Drosophila melanogaster: one gene and its partners. The protein of the gene in region 1 purifies or fractionates together with the protein of each later gene. This does not show direct contact. Each region holds a gene or a part of one and is shown in the gene's direction. Other genes may lie near its edges. The genes, in order: orb, rin and CkIIbeta.

The links.
Region 2: the proteins of orb (region 1) and rin purify together in Drosophila melanogaster (affinity purification with mass spectrometry; 2 studies listed by BioGRID, with this or other methods). This does not show direct contact.
Region 3: the proteins of orb (region 1) and CkIIbeta purify together in Drosophila melanogaster (affinity purification with western blotting; one study listed by BioGRID). This does not show direct contact.

Annotation. Positions count from the first base shown.
Region 1 is NT_033777.3:23,277,581-23,282,795, reverse strand, and holds the start of orb (oo18 RNA-binding protein), read left to right. Parts: upstream 1-1,939; 5' UTR 1,940-2,365; intron 2,366-3,237; 5' UTR 3,238-3,719; coding exon 3,720-3,737; intron 3,738-5,215. Other genes in the region: Cdc16 (cell division cycle 16), read right to left, coding at 1-112, 182-439, 499-781, 836-1,346, 1,410-1,505.
Region 2 is NT_033777.3:13,645,018-13,650,074, forward strand, and holds the start of rin (rasputin), read left to right. Parts: upstream 1-1,986; 5' UTR 1,987-2,183; exon of another isoform or gene 2,184-2,252; intron 2,253-2,365; exon of another isoform or gene 2,366-2,529; intron 2,530-3,804; exon of another isoform or gene 3,805-3,900; 5' UTR 3,901-4,051; coding exon 4,052-5,057. Other genes in the region: sqd (squid), read right to left, coding at 736-902.
Region 3 is NC_004354.4:11,790,481-11,795,618, forward strand, and holds the start of CkIIbeta (casein kinase II beta subunit), read left to right. Parts: upstream 1-2,052; 5' UTR 2,053-2,206; intron 2,207-2,233; exon of another isoform or gene 2,234-2,265; intron 2,266-2,398; exon of another isoform or gene 2,399-2,799; intron 2,800-2,962; 5' UTR 2,963-2,966; coding exon 2,967-3,038; intron 3,039-3,317; coding exon 3,318-3,420; intron 3,421-3,493; coding exon 3,494-3,685; intron 3,686-4,338; coding exon 4,339-4,528; intron 4,529-4,624; coding exon 4,625-4,706; intron 4,707-5,120; coding exon of another isoform or gene 5,121-5,129; exon of another isoform or gene 5,130-5,138. Other genes in the region: karl, read left to right, coding at 378-515, 581-704, 878-1,251. UniProt on the Drosophila melanogaster protein: Participates in Wnt signaling. Plays a complex role in regulating the basal catalytic activity of the alpha subunit.

The DNA of each region.
Region 1 (5,215 bases):
GTCCACCAGCTTATGGGCTACGTAAAATAGCCGATTAAAGTCGCCGTTTTCCACCAGACAGGCAATCTGAATGGTCAGTGCAGTGTTATGAAAGGGATCCACCTTAAGGAGTCTATATATGATAAGCAAAACCAAATACATTTTTGATCAATATAAGTCTTTTACGCCGTTCTTCACTTACTCATTGAGTATTTTCAGGCACTGTTTGTAGTCGCAGTCGTAGAAACACTTCTCCGCCTCAGCGGCCATTAGGTCAGTACTACGTTGTACCCGATCAAGACATTCAGCGATAGGAATTAATGTGTCCGTGTCATGATCACGCGATCGCCTCCTACTGGATGAGTCAAACATGGACCGGTGAGAAGCATCAATGAGGGAAGAAGCCTTTGAGAGACTAGTTTGTAGGGAAAATGTGGGCGCCTTTAGATCTTCCAGGACTCTTAAAGATACAACTTCAATAAGAATGCGCTAAATATTAGAAATATCAGGAGAACTGACTTCTGTGCGGGCGACATGAACTGGCTGGGCGTAAGCGGCACCTTGACGGCGCTCACCTTGGGCATTTGTGTGTCTGACGACCCGCTCTGCTGCACTCGAGCTGTAAATTCCTTGATAAACTGGAGTATGTCAGGATTAACAATGGGGGACATCTCCTCAGCATTGCGTGCGGAAATCAACTCGTAGTACTTCTTCAGGCGAGATTCATAAAGTTTTAGTATAAACTTGGCATCAGCTTCGCTGGATTGTTGTGCCAGCGGTAAATGATGCATTAGCTCAAACTCTGCAATGATTAAGTTGAGATTATACTGTATTCAGAAAGTAGGTGCATGCTCACCTTCCCAAGCCATCAGCATTTCGTGTTGAACCAGCGCCTCCAGGGCCTCAAAGCAGTATATGGATTTGTGAAGGGCCTGAACATAGAAGTCCATTGCCATGCCGCGATTGTCCAGGGCCTCATAAACTTTGCCCTTCATTAGGTAAATGGATGAGAGCAGTTCATTTCTGTGATTCTCCTCGCCACCAAAGACACTGTTGCTTTCCAGATAGCAGCCACTGCTTGCATCAACGGGCTGGTTGATCAGCGATGTGGTCATGACTTCCACCTCCACATTCTGGATGACATTGGCCGCCTCGGTAAACTCCTTGGCCGCATAGAGACTTTCCAGTAGTAGGTTAAAACATGGCAGTGAATTCTTCTCTAGCTTGTGATGCTGTATTGTGTGAGCAGCACGATGGTATTCCCCCAGTAGGTACATGCACTGCGCCTGGTAGTAAATATCCCTGGGTTCCAGGCCACCAAGCACGGCCACCTTTTCTGCCCAAAAAAGCGCTGTGGAGTAGCGACGCTAAAAATGCAATTGAATTTGCACTCAGGCTCTGCTTGCCGGCTTTTGGTTTTTTTGTCTTACCATGTCTATGAATTGTTTGACCAGCTGCCGGTACAAGGCCAGGTCGATGTGTTCATTGGTGGTGTCAGTGCTTGTGTTTTCCGTGTCCCCGGGCATTTTTATTAACGCAGAATTGTATTTTTGTTATAAATTTGATACAAGTTTTCCGCCGCTGGTAATAACTCATTTGAACATAGTGGCAACTCTGTGCAAAACAGCTGTATTGTTGCCATTCACTGGAAACAGTTGTTTACGCCAGTGAAAAAAATTTGGTTGCTGTTAATGCTTTACCAATAAGTAATAAAATTAATGGAAATATAAAAATTATTTTAAAACCAAAACTTTAAATGAAAATACAAATTAAATAAATTATTTAAATAGTTCAGCCATTTGTGCGAATTTTAATGACTGTTTCTTTTTTTGTCGAGGAATCGTCGAACACAAGTTGTTTCAAACAAATGAGCGCTTTTAAGTTCAAGAGAGCGGTTGCATGCGGTTGGTTCGACAGAGCCAGGCGAAAAAGGTTATTTAAGCAGCGTTGCACGCCGTGGCGTGGCCATAATATCAAAAAATCCCGACTAAAATTCCAAAATAAAAGATATCACGGGATGATAATTTAGTTTGTTCTATTAATTTGTATTGCCGCGGCAGGGTCCGCTCAAATTTAAGGCTCAATTTTAAATTCGAGTTAATGTGGTGCCATACCACAGTCGCAAAGATTTTCAACAATCAAAATAGTTTAATAGTAAAAAATGCGTCCGTGAGTGAGTAGTTTGGCGAAACAGCATCGGAAGGAGAAACGGAAAACGGCGAAGGGCGTGCAAAGCAGAAGTAACGGTTCCTGGCGGCGTGTGTGCGAGTGTGTGTAAAAATGTGCTTGGTGGACGACAAAAGAAACGGGATGCGATTGCAAGTGCGGAATTAAAATAAAATTCACACGAATTTATGCGCCATCCGCGTGTTTTTGCGAGTCCTGGGTATGTATTGGTGTATCAGTGTTAGCCGGCACTAGAAATTGTTGACCGAAAAATGGTGCAGTTCAAATTAGTTGGTAACAAGAAGGTGAAGAAAAACAGGGCAGCGGCTCATTTTTCGTTCTCTCATTCTCGACGTGCGTATTTTACAACTTTACAACTACACACTACTATTATGTGCCGTTGGTCCTGTTTTTTTTTCTGTTGCCTTTGGCTCACGTCATCTCTCCAAAAACTACGGCAATCAATCGCCGCCTTGGCCACACAGAGGAAATGAAGCTGGAATTGCGCGGGGTCTTAATTCGTTAATAAAATGTAAGGTGTGCACAATAATAGATTTTTGGATTGTCCGGTATCAATTGAAAAGAAATATGAATAACAGTGCAATTCATGAAAGTATAGCAATTTTTCTTTCTGTGTGCACACTTATTCTTACTACCCATTATTCTACGCACAGAGCGCGAGAGTGAGATGGAGAGAGTAGAGAAAGGGCGAGACAGGGCTTGGCCCCATCTCCATCTCCATTTTACAACTCCAACTTCGCTGCCACTGCTCATTTCATGCTGATTTATGGCTCTAATAATAGGTTCGCTCAACACACAGCTTCCGAAAGGATTACCACCCGAAAGGATAATGCATAGTTTGTGTTATTGGCGGCCATAAAAGCCCCCTTTAAAGTAAACGACCCTGGATTACAGTTAATTACAGTTAGCCGGGACAGTGTCATAGAGAGTAGGAGAGAGAGGGATACGCCTTGATCGATTTACGGCATTTAACGCTCAAGTGCGTACGCGTGTGTTTTCTTTAAACTCCACTGATTTGGAAACTACAAAGAAGAGTACTCTTATAATTAATTCATGCTTATGATATTTCAGGCCTTTGGAAATTTGCATCGTTGACGAGGCGGAATGAATCGATGACTATTTGCTGCTGATACGGCCACATCTGCCAGCTGTCTTGGTTCGCCTTCGCCCCTCTCGCTCGCTCAGTCGCGTTATCCTGTGGAGCTCCAATAAACAACAACAAAAACCAGATTCCTTGCCCGAGGCTCGGCATCCAATTCAAACTCCAACCAGATCCAACACGAACTTGGACTCGAACCGCAGCGAACTCCAACCGAAAGGCCTGCGCAGGAGTGAAAGAGAGAGGGCGAGAGAGACGGTGCGCGAACGGGCTCTCCGCCGGCAGTGGGAGTGGGAAAGGGAAGGTACGAGAGGCGGAAGTGGTGACATCTGTTTTGCCGCTTTGTCAGTTGGCGGATGCTGCTCCTGCCGAACACGAACGAACGCGAACGAGCACGAACGAACAAGGAGCGCAACGTGAACAAGTGTGGAAATTGGAATTTTTATTCAAAACAATGCCCCTGCTGCAACAGGTATGTAAATAATAATAAAACCCATTCGCACTCCAGAGCGGTAATTGAAACGCTCACGTACGAATAAAGTCGGCTAGAGAGAAAGAGGGAGAGAGAGAACGACCGAGCGAGTGAGAGAGCTCTACATCAGCTGGCTTTTTCAGTTCATCTTCCCAATTGGGATTCGTGAGTGGCTGGCCCGGGATGATCCTAATAAGATTAGTGCCCAACTTTACGCCTACACTTCTGAGAGTTTTTCAAACCACCCCACCACCCACTGAAACAGCCCCATCCGCCAACGTCTGTTGCACATTATGAGTAGTTAAATTCGATTAAACTTGCGGCGTTTTCTGCGCCAGACACCACTGCGCCTCCTTTTCGTCCTTTTTGCCGCCGGGTGGGCTTTTAATTGTACTCTTTGTTGCGCAAAATAGTTGCGTGATTTAATTTTGCTCGCCTTTATATGTTTTTTAATTCACTTAAATGAGATGATTCGATTAGGACACTGAGCGGTACAGAAAAAGCGCAGAGAGCAAATGGAAGCATTGGAATAGCGGATAAAAAACAGAGCTAAAGTTGTTGGGCACGCTTTACAACTGCCATTAGTATCCAGATTTTTATGTCTTTAAAGATTCGTAAAAGTTTGTCTAATAATCTTAAAACTCCAGTGACAGTACAAGCAGACAGCTATTAGCCTCTTATGGCTCAAAATATTACATGTCCCTTCCTGAGTTTTTCTTTATCCTCTGGAAAATTAATTATCCTGCCTGACAATCCGCTTCATATCAATACACATCAAAATTATGTCAGTTGCGGCAATTGCCCTTCACCCCCAAATGTGAATTACATGTAATGATTACAATATCCTTTATGCTGATACGCACATGCTAACCAACCCGACGACTCGGCTCATGCCCCCGCCGACCCCAGACTTGATTTAAGCGATCCTAAAGCGACTGTCAATATGTGTGACAGGTTTTTTAAGACGCTTTCCCTCCTCGGCGGAGCACTTGGTCCCATTGTTGGCTACGCGGCCCGTTTGTATCCTTGCCACGTCTTCCGCCTTTGGAAAAAGTTGCTCATTGTCGACTGTGACAGGAGACCCGGACCCGTCTATTGCTCATCATTCAGGCATTTGACGACAGACGACGCACAGGGGTTGAGGAAAAGCCGCCTTGACTACGTCAATGGATTGGGGATGGCTTTCAAAGAGGCGGAGATGGAAACAGAGGTGGAGGATGAAGGATGGAGGTTGGTTCTGTGCTGCATCCATGGCCCGAGTTGGCTGACAATGGAGCTGCGCATTTGTTACAATGTTTACACAAATATTTAAGGATAATCCGACGATTTCAAAGGGGTTATTATGCAATTTTTCTTCTCATTTTATTGTGGCTGCCAGCGGCGGCAGCAAAATGGTAGAAAAAAAAGATCAAAATATAGACCCAACTGAATAACTAAATGCAAAATGTCAATTTCGTCGTGTAAGCAGTGTCTATACC
Region 2 (5,057 bases), 9.6 Mb from region 1:
AAGAGAATAAGTGAAAACTGCAAAACACGCACACACCTACAGAACAGCGGGCGTTAGGTTGGTATGTATGCCTGTATGCAGCCGCCATTTTGGGTACAAAACTGGAAGAGCACAAAATAACAACGAAATAGCCGAAACAAAGAGTAATGCGAATTAAAAAGAATACACTGACAAATACAAACATAACTTTTTCCAACGTTTTTTTTCGCCACATTTTTTGCAAGTGAAAGGCAACCGTATGATTTGTGTTCGTATGCGTCACAGTGTGTCTGTGGGGCAACGTGGGAAACAAACATAACCTCACAAAGGGGAGAAAATGTGCTCCTAGCTTAAGAAAACTCTGGTTTTCATTGCGGAAAGTGCGTGTGTGTGCAGGGGAAAACGTTGAAAATTTTCCATGTCTCCCGAGACTGTGATGATGCATTTTGGCCCGAAGATTCTATTAATATGACTGAAGTACAGTCGCACCGACACCTCACACACACACACTTAAACACACTCCGACGCACGAGCGCAAGCGAGAGAGAACACAAAAGGGGTCAGACTTCCCCCGCAGAACCCCGTAAAATCCAATGAAACTCGACCAACGACGTTAGCTTTGCATTTACGTAACAGAGTAGGCAATATACACTATGTAGAAGCAGAAAATCTATGGGGGGCACATGATCATCGGTTGCCCGTTGCAAAAATAAAAAAGAACAAAAAAAAAACGTATCCGCCGGATAATGGACATACCTGTCGTCGTCCCGCTGGCCGGATGCGGCCGATTGGTTGTCCGAACTGCCGTTGGTCGAGCCGGCGGCGCCCGCATCACCATTTTCAGATCCCGGACCGTCGGCAGTCACGTCCTTGGTGAAATCCTCGCCGTTTATTTCTGTATCCACTTGCTTGTTCTCGGCCATTTTGTGTGTTTTCGACTGATCTACTAATTTCGGGGGCTAGGCAGCACGATATTCGTTTTTTACGCAGAGCCGGAGATTTTTATACACACTCGCCAAAAAGTCGCGCGTACGAATGAAATGACGACCGGAAAATGATAAATGCAAACGACAGCGTGTGTATATGGGTGCGGCGTTGCCACCTTGATGTTTTCCCAGTCAAGTCGATTTGGTATTATTTTGGTAAATATTTGTATTGTATTTGCTTGCTCTACCTGGAGATTGTTAGCTATACATTTGCCAAGGATTAAATTGGGATTTTCTGTACGATACCACCCCAAATAAGCCTATATAAGGAGCTAAATGGGCGCGTGACTTGTCTGCTTGCAGTATGGCAGCTTTGATTTATACAATGTACACACACCTATGAAGAGAAAATGAAAAGAATACCAAAAATTTTATACAAATATTTTAAAGCCCAGTTTACACAATGGACAAGTTACTTGGTTTATAAATTCATTTTAGTTGTATTAAAGGTTTAAATATTTAAATAAATATTAAGTATTTCATAAACATTTATAATTTTATAAATATAAAAAATACAATGTTCATTATTTACTATGTGTTGGGAACGAAAACAACATTTACATACAAAGAATTGTTTAAAATCGAATTTTCATATTAACTTCTTATAGGCTGAAACATCAACAATATTTTAAATCATTTAATTGGTTTATATTAAATATTTTTATTTTTTGCAAAAATTTATACAATTTTCATATTCGGATTTCCCAACAGGTTATAATATAACGTTATTATGGTTTTTATTTATTTGCTATATAAAATGTTTCCTTTAAAGAAAGGTGTTTCATGAGCTTACTCAAAAAATCGGAAATGGCTAAAATGAAAATAAGTTTTATAAAACTATTTAAAAGAAACTTAGCGCCCCTAAAATGAGCTTAATTGAGCTCAAATATGAAAATATCAAATTCATCAAAATATTCTATGGAACATACTAGATTAACCACCCCAAAAAAAGAAGTGTGTGCACACCCTTGGAAAAGCCGCCATCATTCACACACCAACACACGCGAAACCAAGAATAAAACTGTGCAGAGGCAAAAAAGAGGAAAAGAGGAACGAACGTCGGTTCTCTTCTCGATTCAACACACTTGTCCAATTTCATTGCGTTTGCGATTATTTTCTACTCAAAAGCCACAACATATGCATCGTAACTTAATTCAACAACAACTGTGATCGCCAAACATCAGAAAGCAACAAAAAATACACGTCAAGAATTGCCAAGTTAGTTATTCTCAAAAAAAAAGACAAAAAGAATTGCAACAAACTAGACTAGTGTGTGTGTGTGAGCGAGTGAGTGCATTGGTGTGTGTGGCTGTGTGTTTTGTGTGCAGCTTGCAATTTTATACTGCATTTCATACGTTTCGACTATCGTTTTGTAAATTAAAAAAACCGCATAATTTCAGCGCTCCACTAAGAAATCCAACTCTCCCCGCCCCCCGCAGGAAGATAACAAAGAAAAGTGCTACAAAAAGTGCCGATTTTTCGGCAAACTTCAACCCAAAAGCAATACACACTGTGCATTACAAAAAGGAAAAATAAAAACGAGGAAAAATATCGCTTAAAAAAGGTGAGCCGGCGACGGCCTCGTGTGCGCGGTCTAGAAAAACTAGCATTTTCCATTTTCAAAGGGGTGGCGCATACTAGGAAAAAATCAACATAAAAAATGCTAAATGGGCGTATATTTTATTATTGCGGCAGGGCTCTATCTCTTAAATTTTTTTTTTTACCATTTTAGCGGCTTTTTTTATTATCGCTTGTGCATAACCTAAAAATGTACGAAAAATTTTGTTTTTGTACATTTTTGTTTAAATGCTGCTCTTCAACTATAGCTTTCTTTGTTCTTCCTACACACGCGGTTCGCAAGCAGAAATAGAGTGGGAAAGAGAGAACCCGAAAGAGCGGCGCGTTCATAACCGAATATGTGTGCGTGTGGGTTTGCCGCAACTCATTGTGCATTTTTTGTTTTATCGGCAAATGTTTATGGCTAAAATGGGGCAAAGGACACCTGCAAACATTGATATTTACTTACACCTTTTAACGCTATTTCAAGTGTTTTTGCAAGGCAGCAATTTGATATTTTGGCCAAGCTGGAGTTCATTGTATGCGGCGCCACAACCTTGAGACCCGAACATAACCTCAATTTAATTCATGCTCCTCGCTTGGCGGCTTCTTTTTTTTCTTTGCCAAATTGTATGAGGTCATTTACTCGCGCACACACACACACGTGCAAAGTTCAGTCAGCCAGGATCGCAGGCATAAAAGCTGGAGCACGTGCAGGGTTAAATGTCCTGCGACGGCAAGCAAATTGGAATTTTTCCTGACAGCTGCACTACACCAAATTTCCCCTTTTCGCATGTGCAAATGTGTGTGGGCCCCAAAAGTGGGTCAAACTGCAGCGCGCTGCGTCTGTTTTATATGCACTGCGGTAAAATGAGCTCCCTGTTTTGGGTGTACAAACCTCCCCCCCTCCCCGCCGTCCTTGTGACCAAGCGAAACTCTAGATCCTTATTGGAGAGCACAGCAGGGGTCAACACTTTGGTAGTCAGTCACATTTCTCTAGAAATTTATGTAAAAGAAGCACAGATTGATTTAATGGACAGTCTGAAAATCCAATTAAATTTGTTTCTTATATTTGCGTGTTTTACCGTTATCAAGCCTTAATTCTCCAAATTAAATTTACACGTGATGAAATTAACTGATAACACAACTAGTGATTCATTATGGTTTCTATACTTTTACCGGCACAGGTATGAATAAGCCATCTTTGAACACCTTTTGGAGATTGTAAGAAACAGGGTAGCAGCTTCCTTTAATTTCAAATTATCAGATTGAAAAATCTACACAGTCGTCTAGGACTTTTGCCAACTTTTCTTTTTTTTTATTAAAAAAACCAGACAGATTTTCATAGTGCGCGTATATTTTTTGCACTATTTCGCAGACGTTCCCACACTCTCAATCGACACAGATCAGCCACCGTGTCGATAGATCCGAGCAGCAGCTAGAAAGAAGGGAAGCAGAAATTGGAAGCGGAGACAAAGAATCCGAGTCGAAGAGTCCGTAGTTCAGAGAGGAAGAATCAAACGCCAGCTATGGTCATGGATGCGACCCAATCGCAGCAGCCTTCGCCGCAATCTGTGGGACGCGAGTTTGTCCGCCAGTACTACACGCTGTTGAACAAGGCGCCCAACCACTTGCATCGCTTCTATAACCACAACTCGTCGTACATCCATGGAGAGTCCAAGCTGGTGGTCGGTCAGCGGGAGATCCACAACCGAATCCAGCAGCTGAACTTCAACGATTGCCACGCGAAGATCAGCCAGGTTGATGCCCAGGCCACTTTGGGCAACGGTGTGGTGGTTCAGGTCACCGGGGAGCTATCCAATGATGGCCAGCCGATGCGGCGTTTTACCCAGACGTTCGTTCTGGCCGCTCAGTCGCCGAAGAAGTACTACGTGCACAACGACATCTTCCGCTATCAGGATCTCTACATCGAGGACGAGCAGGATGGCGAGTCGCGATCGGAGAACGATGAGGAGCACGATGTGCAGGTCGTCGGTGGCACTGTGGATCAAGCTGTGCAGGTGGCCGGCGATGTAGTTGCCCAGCAGCCGCAGCAACAGCAGGCTCCTCCGCAGCCACAGGCTCAGGTCGTGGTGCCCCAGCAGGTAGCTCCTGTAGCGGCCGGTGGTGCTGCCCCACAGCAGATCTTCTACCCATTGCCAGCGGGTGCTGCCGCCGGACGTCCTGTGGCTGTTTTGCCACCAGCTCCGCAAGCCGCTGCTGTTCCACTGCCCGCGCAGTTCACCGTTCCGCCGCCACAGCCCATCCAGAACGGTGTGGTGTCGCACGAGGAGCTGCAGCAGCAGCAGGTGCTGGTCCCACCCAGCGTGTCTCCCCTGGTACAGCAGCAGCAGCCGACCGGCACGCCTGTGTTGCCCATTGTTCCAGTGCCAAGCGCGGGCTTCCAACAGTCGCCACTGGTGGCACCACAGCTCATCCAGCAGCAGCAGCAGCAGCAACCGGCACAGCTGCCCCCGCAGCAGCAGCAGCAGCAGCAACCTATCCAGCAGCAGCAGCCTTTGCAACAGCAGCAAC
Region 3 (5,138 bases), on another chromosome or scaffold:
ATGCAGCTAGCTAAGTTGAATTGGGATTATAGCCAAGATGCATTTGTGGTCTTAACGTTTATTGGGCATATTTATTAGCAGCCCTGACCTCTCAAATATCATAATAATGATCGTACACCAGGGTTTTTAAATACCCATTAAAAAGCACGACTGTCTCAAGAGTTATTATAAATATAAGATATGTATGTGAATCTTAACCAGAAACCCTCGCTGTCTAATGTATATATATATAGGTAATAGAAAAAAACTCCTATCATAAAGTATAATAGATCTTTATCATTATAGATTACATTATATATTATATTATACAACATTATAAAGACCTCCTCTAAATTACTTACATATCTAACTTATTATGGAACTAATTTTCCGTTTAGGTGGGAGCCATTAAGAACTTCGATTTGGAGCGCATGATGGGCTGTTGGCACGTGGTTCAGTATTACGCATCCACAGAGGAACTTCCGGAGTACGCGTGCATGCGCAGTCACTTTTCCTTTTCCAAAGAGGATCAGCATGTGAGTGGCAGCAAGGACCTTTATCCCTATTACAAATTATACCTCAATACCTCAATTTAAATTAGATAACGATGAACTTTAGCTACATATTTGCGGAGGATCCGCTGCGCGAGAAGCTCGTGGGCAACATCACCTGGATGATACCCAAATTCCAAGAGCCAGGACATTGGCAGCACACGGAGGACATATGTGAGTGATGGAAATGTTTCTACAATCAAATTCAAAACGAAAATCTATTCAAAATGTAGTTGTGATACGTTTGAAGTAGTTTGGTAATTACTATGCCAAAGAGTAATTCGATCTGCCCGGGTTTAATATATGTTTTAAGCAGTATTTTCGTTTCTATATGTACCTCCTTGCAGATGAGGGCATCTACAACACATACGTTCTGGACACGGACTACGACACCTGGGGCCTGGTGATGCACTGCGCCGAGAAGAAGAAGCAACCACGTTACCTGTCCGCCCTGCTTTTGTCGCGGAAAACATCGTTGGCCGACAACGAGATCAGCTTTCTGCGCGGCAAGTTGCCGCAGGATATCGACACATCCTTTATGTTTAACATCGGGCAGGAATCGTGCGACAATCTAATGGAATCTAGTCGCGACGATCCACTGGCCTATGTTGTGAATGGACGCAAGAGAGCCAAGGAAATCTTCAAAATTATCAATAAGCCTGACGGCAGAGTGCGCGCTAGTAGCGAAGCGAGAAGCTATGAGCAAAGCGAGAAGCTGTGAGCAAAGCGAGTCGATGGCAGAGTAAGAGCTAAGCGAGAAACGAGCTACATTGCTCTCTTTTAGTTATTAATGTGAACGTGATGGATTCGGACGAGGAATTTTTTGCATCAAGCGCAACTATTAACTTTCTGTTAAAACTGTCGTCCACCCTCTTAACTGAAATAGAAATGAAAAAGGCGAATTCAATAATTTATATAAAAGGTTATTTACAGAATGGAACAAGACAAAACAAAATAACGTGTGTTTTGAAAATAAACGGTAATATAGCGCAGAATATAACAAAACAATCGTACGCCCTGAGCGAGTTGAAGCGATAAGGCCTTGCTCTCGCTTTTTCGCTTAAGCTCGCAACTCGCTTCGCTCTCACTCTGACATCTTTCGAGCGATTGCGCTTAAAATGCATGCAGTGGGTTTATCGCTCGTTCTTGTATTATTAGTCTAATCAATCAACTAAGAGAAAATATTATACGAAAACCCGATTTATTTTGTCAATAATACAAATTTAAATAAGCACTTTCAAACATTTCAAACTTTCAACATAGTGTTACCATACAACTAAACGAAATAATACCTTAAAGTAGTTGTAAGAAAATATTGCTAGCTGCAATCGGTAAATTATTTGACAAATGGCAAAACAGCCAACTAAATGCTGGTAATAAACAATATTTTAATATTTGGCTTGATTTGCTTATTTAACAAATAATTCCGCGTTTTGTTTGGTTAATTGCTTTTCCGAACCAGTGTTGCGAAACGCGCAATCCCGATTAGCCGATACATCGCTTAGCGATGACACGGCGCCACATCGATTGGCAATCGCCTGCGGACAGCGCAGGACAGCGGTAATCGATAGTCGAGATTGCATACCTGATATCATCGTCTTCGCTACAATATTTGCCTTTACCGGTTCAGCTGCAGTACAAAAGTCGATCAATTTGAGTAATTATTAACAATTTGGGTGAGTGCTGGCCACTGGAAGATAGCCGCAGCGGGAAAAATACAGAATAGCAAGTTGGTGTGCGTTGGATTGCGCTCATCGGTGTAAAGGCGTGCGTGTGTGCACGTCCCTATGTGCGCTTCGCGGTGTGCGTGTTTGCTTGTGTGCGTGTGGTGGCCCCTGTATATGTGTCTCTTTTTTTCTCAATTTCCAACAGTGTGTGCTTCTTCTTGCTGCTCGGCACATTTTGTATGAGCGCTTGTCAATTGTCACAATACGAGTATAAAAATTTATTTTTATGCCCCCCGACCACACGAATTTCAACGGTGCGATCACCGAAAACTAGTAACATTGTACAAGCAACGCGAATTAAACGGAAAACCGAAAACAAAAACCCCAAAAGGCCAATCCAACCAAAAAAAAAGAGGAGGAAAGAAGAAAAAAGCGGAAAAAGAGAGTGTGGTTTGTGCGAGCAACAAGAAGCGGAACCAAAAGGAAACGTGAAGAAAGCAGGGGGGGTGGGGTAGACAAGAAAGTGCCAAGATTCCGTTCCAAGATATTTTAACAATAAATTTCGCACGCCAGCCCAAATTACGCAAAATAATCCCCTTAATGTATGTAATAGTGCGTGAGCGTTTGTCCCAGTGTGTGTGCCATGATTGCCTGTGTGTGTGAGAGTGCGGTGTGCATGTGTGGTATGCGTGTGCAGGATAATTTGTCAGCAAAAAAAAAACGATGAAAATATGAATTAGCAACTCCATTCGCTTATCTTTGCAGCAAAATGAGCAGCTCCGAGGAAGTCTCCTGGGTCACCTGGTTCTGTGGACTTCGTGGCAATGAGTTCTTCTGCGAGGTGAGATATCATCATCATATCAGCATCAACGACGAATTACCCGCGTTCTTCGCTGTAATCGCGTTATCTAAGCGCGCGCTATAAGTGCAACAATTGCAAAGTGCAGCCCTCAATCTCTGCCTTTGCGCGCGCGTGTGTGTGTGTGTGTGTGCGTGTGTGCCGCAAGGTGGGGCAATACCGAGCCCAACTGTACACACATGTCCAGATAACACACGATATAGTGGATATATGACAGTATATTCCAGTACAGATCCTAATTGCATACGCTTTTGATTCCAGGTGGATGAGGACTACATACAGGATAAATTCAATTTAACTGGTTTAAATGAGCAGGTACCCAACTATCGGCAAGCGTTGGACATGATCTTGGACTTGGAACCGGGTAAGTTTAGAATGGGCTGTTACCCATATCCAAAATTGTAATGTATATAGCTAATGCGCCTTACCATCCACAGAGGACGAGCTCGAGGACAATCCACTGCAGTCCGACATGACCGAGCAGGCCGCCGAGATGCTCTACGGCCTCATACACGCCAGATATATACTAACAAATCGCGGCATCGCTCAAATGATCGAGAAATATCAAACTGGCGATTTCGGACATTGTCCACGTGTCTACTGTGAAAGTCAGCCCATGCTGCCATTGGGTGCGTAACCAGATCCTTGATCAATCGCTCTTACCTATAGCTAACAAACATAGTTGCGAATCTTTCTGCGCGTAATTGATTGTAATCTAAAAAAAAAAAAAAAAAACAACATATCTACGAGGAACCTCGTGCTTTTCTGCCTAGTAATTACATAGCCAGAAACTATCAACGCGATTATTGGCACAACTTCTAATTGAGTTTCCTGAATAGCATATCATTGGGGCTTTCCCATGAAATCTTACACCAAGAAAAAAACAACGCATTCTTAATAGAAATTCTACCTTAATTGTCTGGCTTGGCTTGCCCTAGTTAAAACCTTCGCAACGCTTCCCGATCTCCAATAAATTCTTACCGAAACTTCCCTAAACGTTGTTAACGATCAAATAAAGCAATGCTGAATCAAATGCATGCACAAATGCAAGATAGGGTTTCACTAAACAAGGTCCCTCAATTTCTGTGAAAATTAACTAGGCCAAAGTGGCTAGACGAGCCTTGTAAACATTTCTGCTATTAATGATAAATGATCATGATGGATATCATGTTGAGTTAAATCAGGTTAAATATGTTTGTACCAGATTTCACCGATGAATTCTGACTTTTTCTAGTTGCTAGTTGCTCTGCCAGTGGTCTAATCCTTTGATTATTATCCTCAGGTCTGTCGGACATCCCCGGCGAGGCAATGGTTAAGACCTATTGCCCCAAGTGCATTGACGTGTACACACCAAAATCGTCGCGTCACCACCATACCGATGGCGCCTATTTCGGCACTGGATTTCCACACATGCTCTTCATGGTGCATCCCGAATATCGTCCCAAGCGTCCTACTAATCAGTTTGTTCCAAGGTAAGATTTATACCCATTACTGTATATGCACATTGTTAATATGCTCTTTTGTTTTATGTGCCCGATACGACGTCAACTTGATCATCACATACATAGGCTATATGGATTTAAAATACACAGCTTAGCTTATCAAATTCAGCTGCAGGCAGCAGCCAATTTTAAAATGCCACTACGAGCGGTAAATTTAAAACTTAATAACTAGCTATTAGTATCCTTTCCACCATTTACCCCACTCTCTCATCTTTTTTTGTTGTATTTTATTTTGGAATCTAAAATTCTATATATTGACTAAAAAAAACACAACGCCACCAAGGGATCATTCAACTACTAAGCATATAAATATATTATATCTTTTTTATTTGTTTTCTCTCCCCACACATACAAAACCACCAAACCAACCACCACCACCACCACAAAAAAAAACCAAACCAAATCAAATCAAACATCCATAAAATCCGATCGACAACCTGAACCTGAATATGATTATGAATACAATCATGTCTCTGCCTGTCTGAATAAAACCAAACATAAAACCAAAATATCGATATATTATCGATCGTTCCAATCGATCGATTCTTAAAATTGGGTGTAGAAAAACTAATAAAATAAA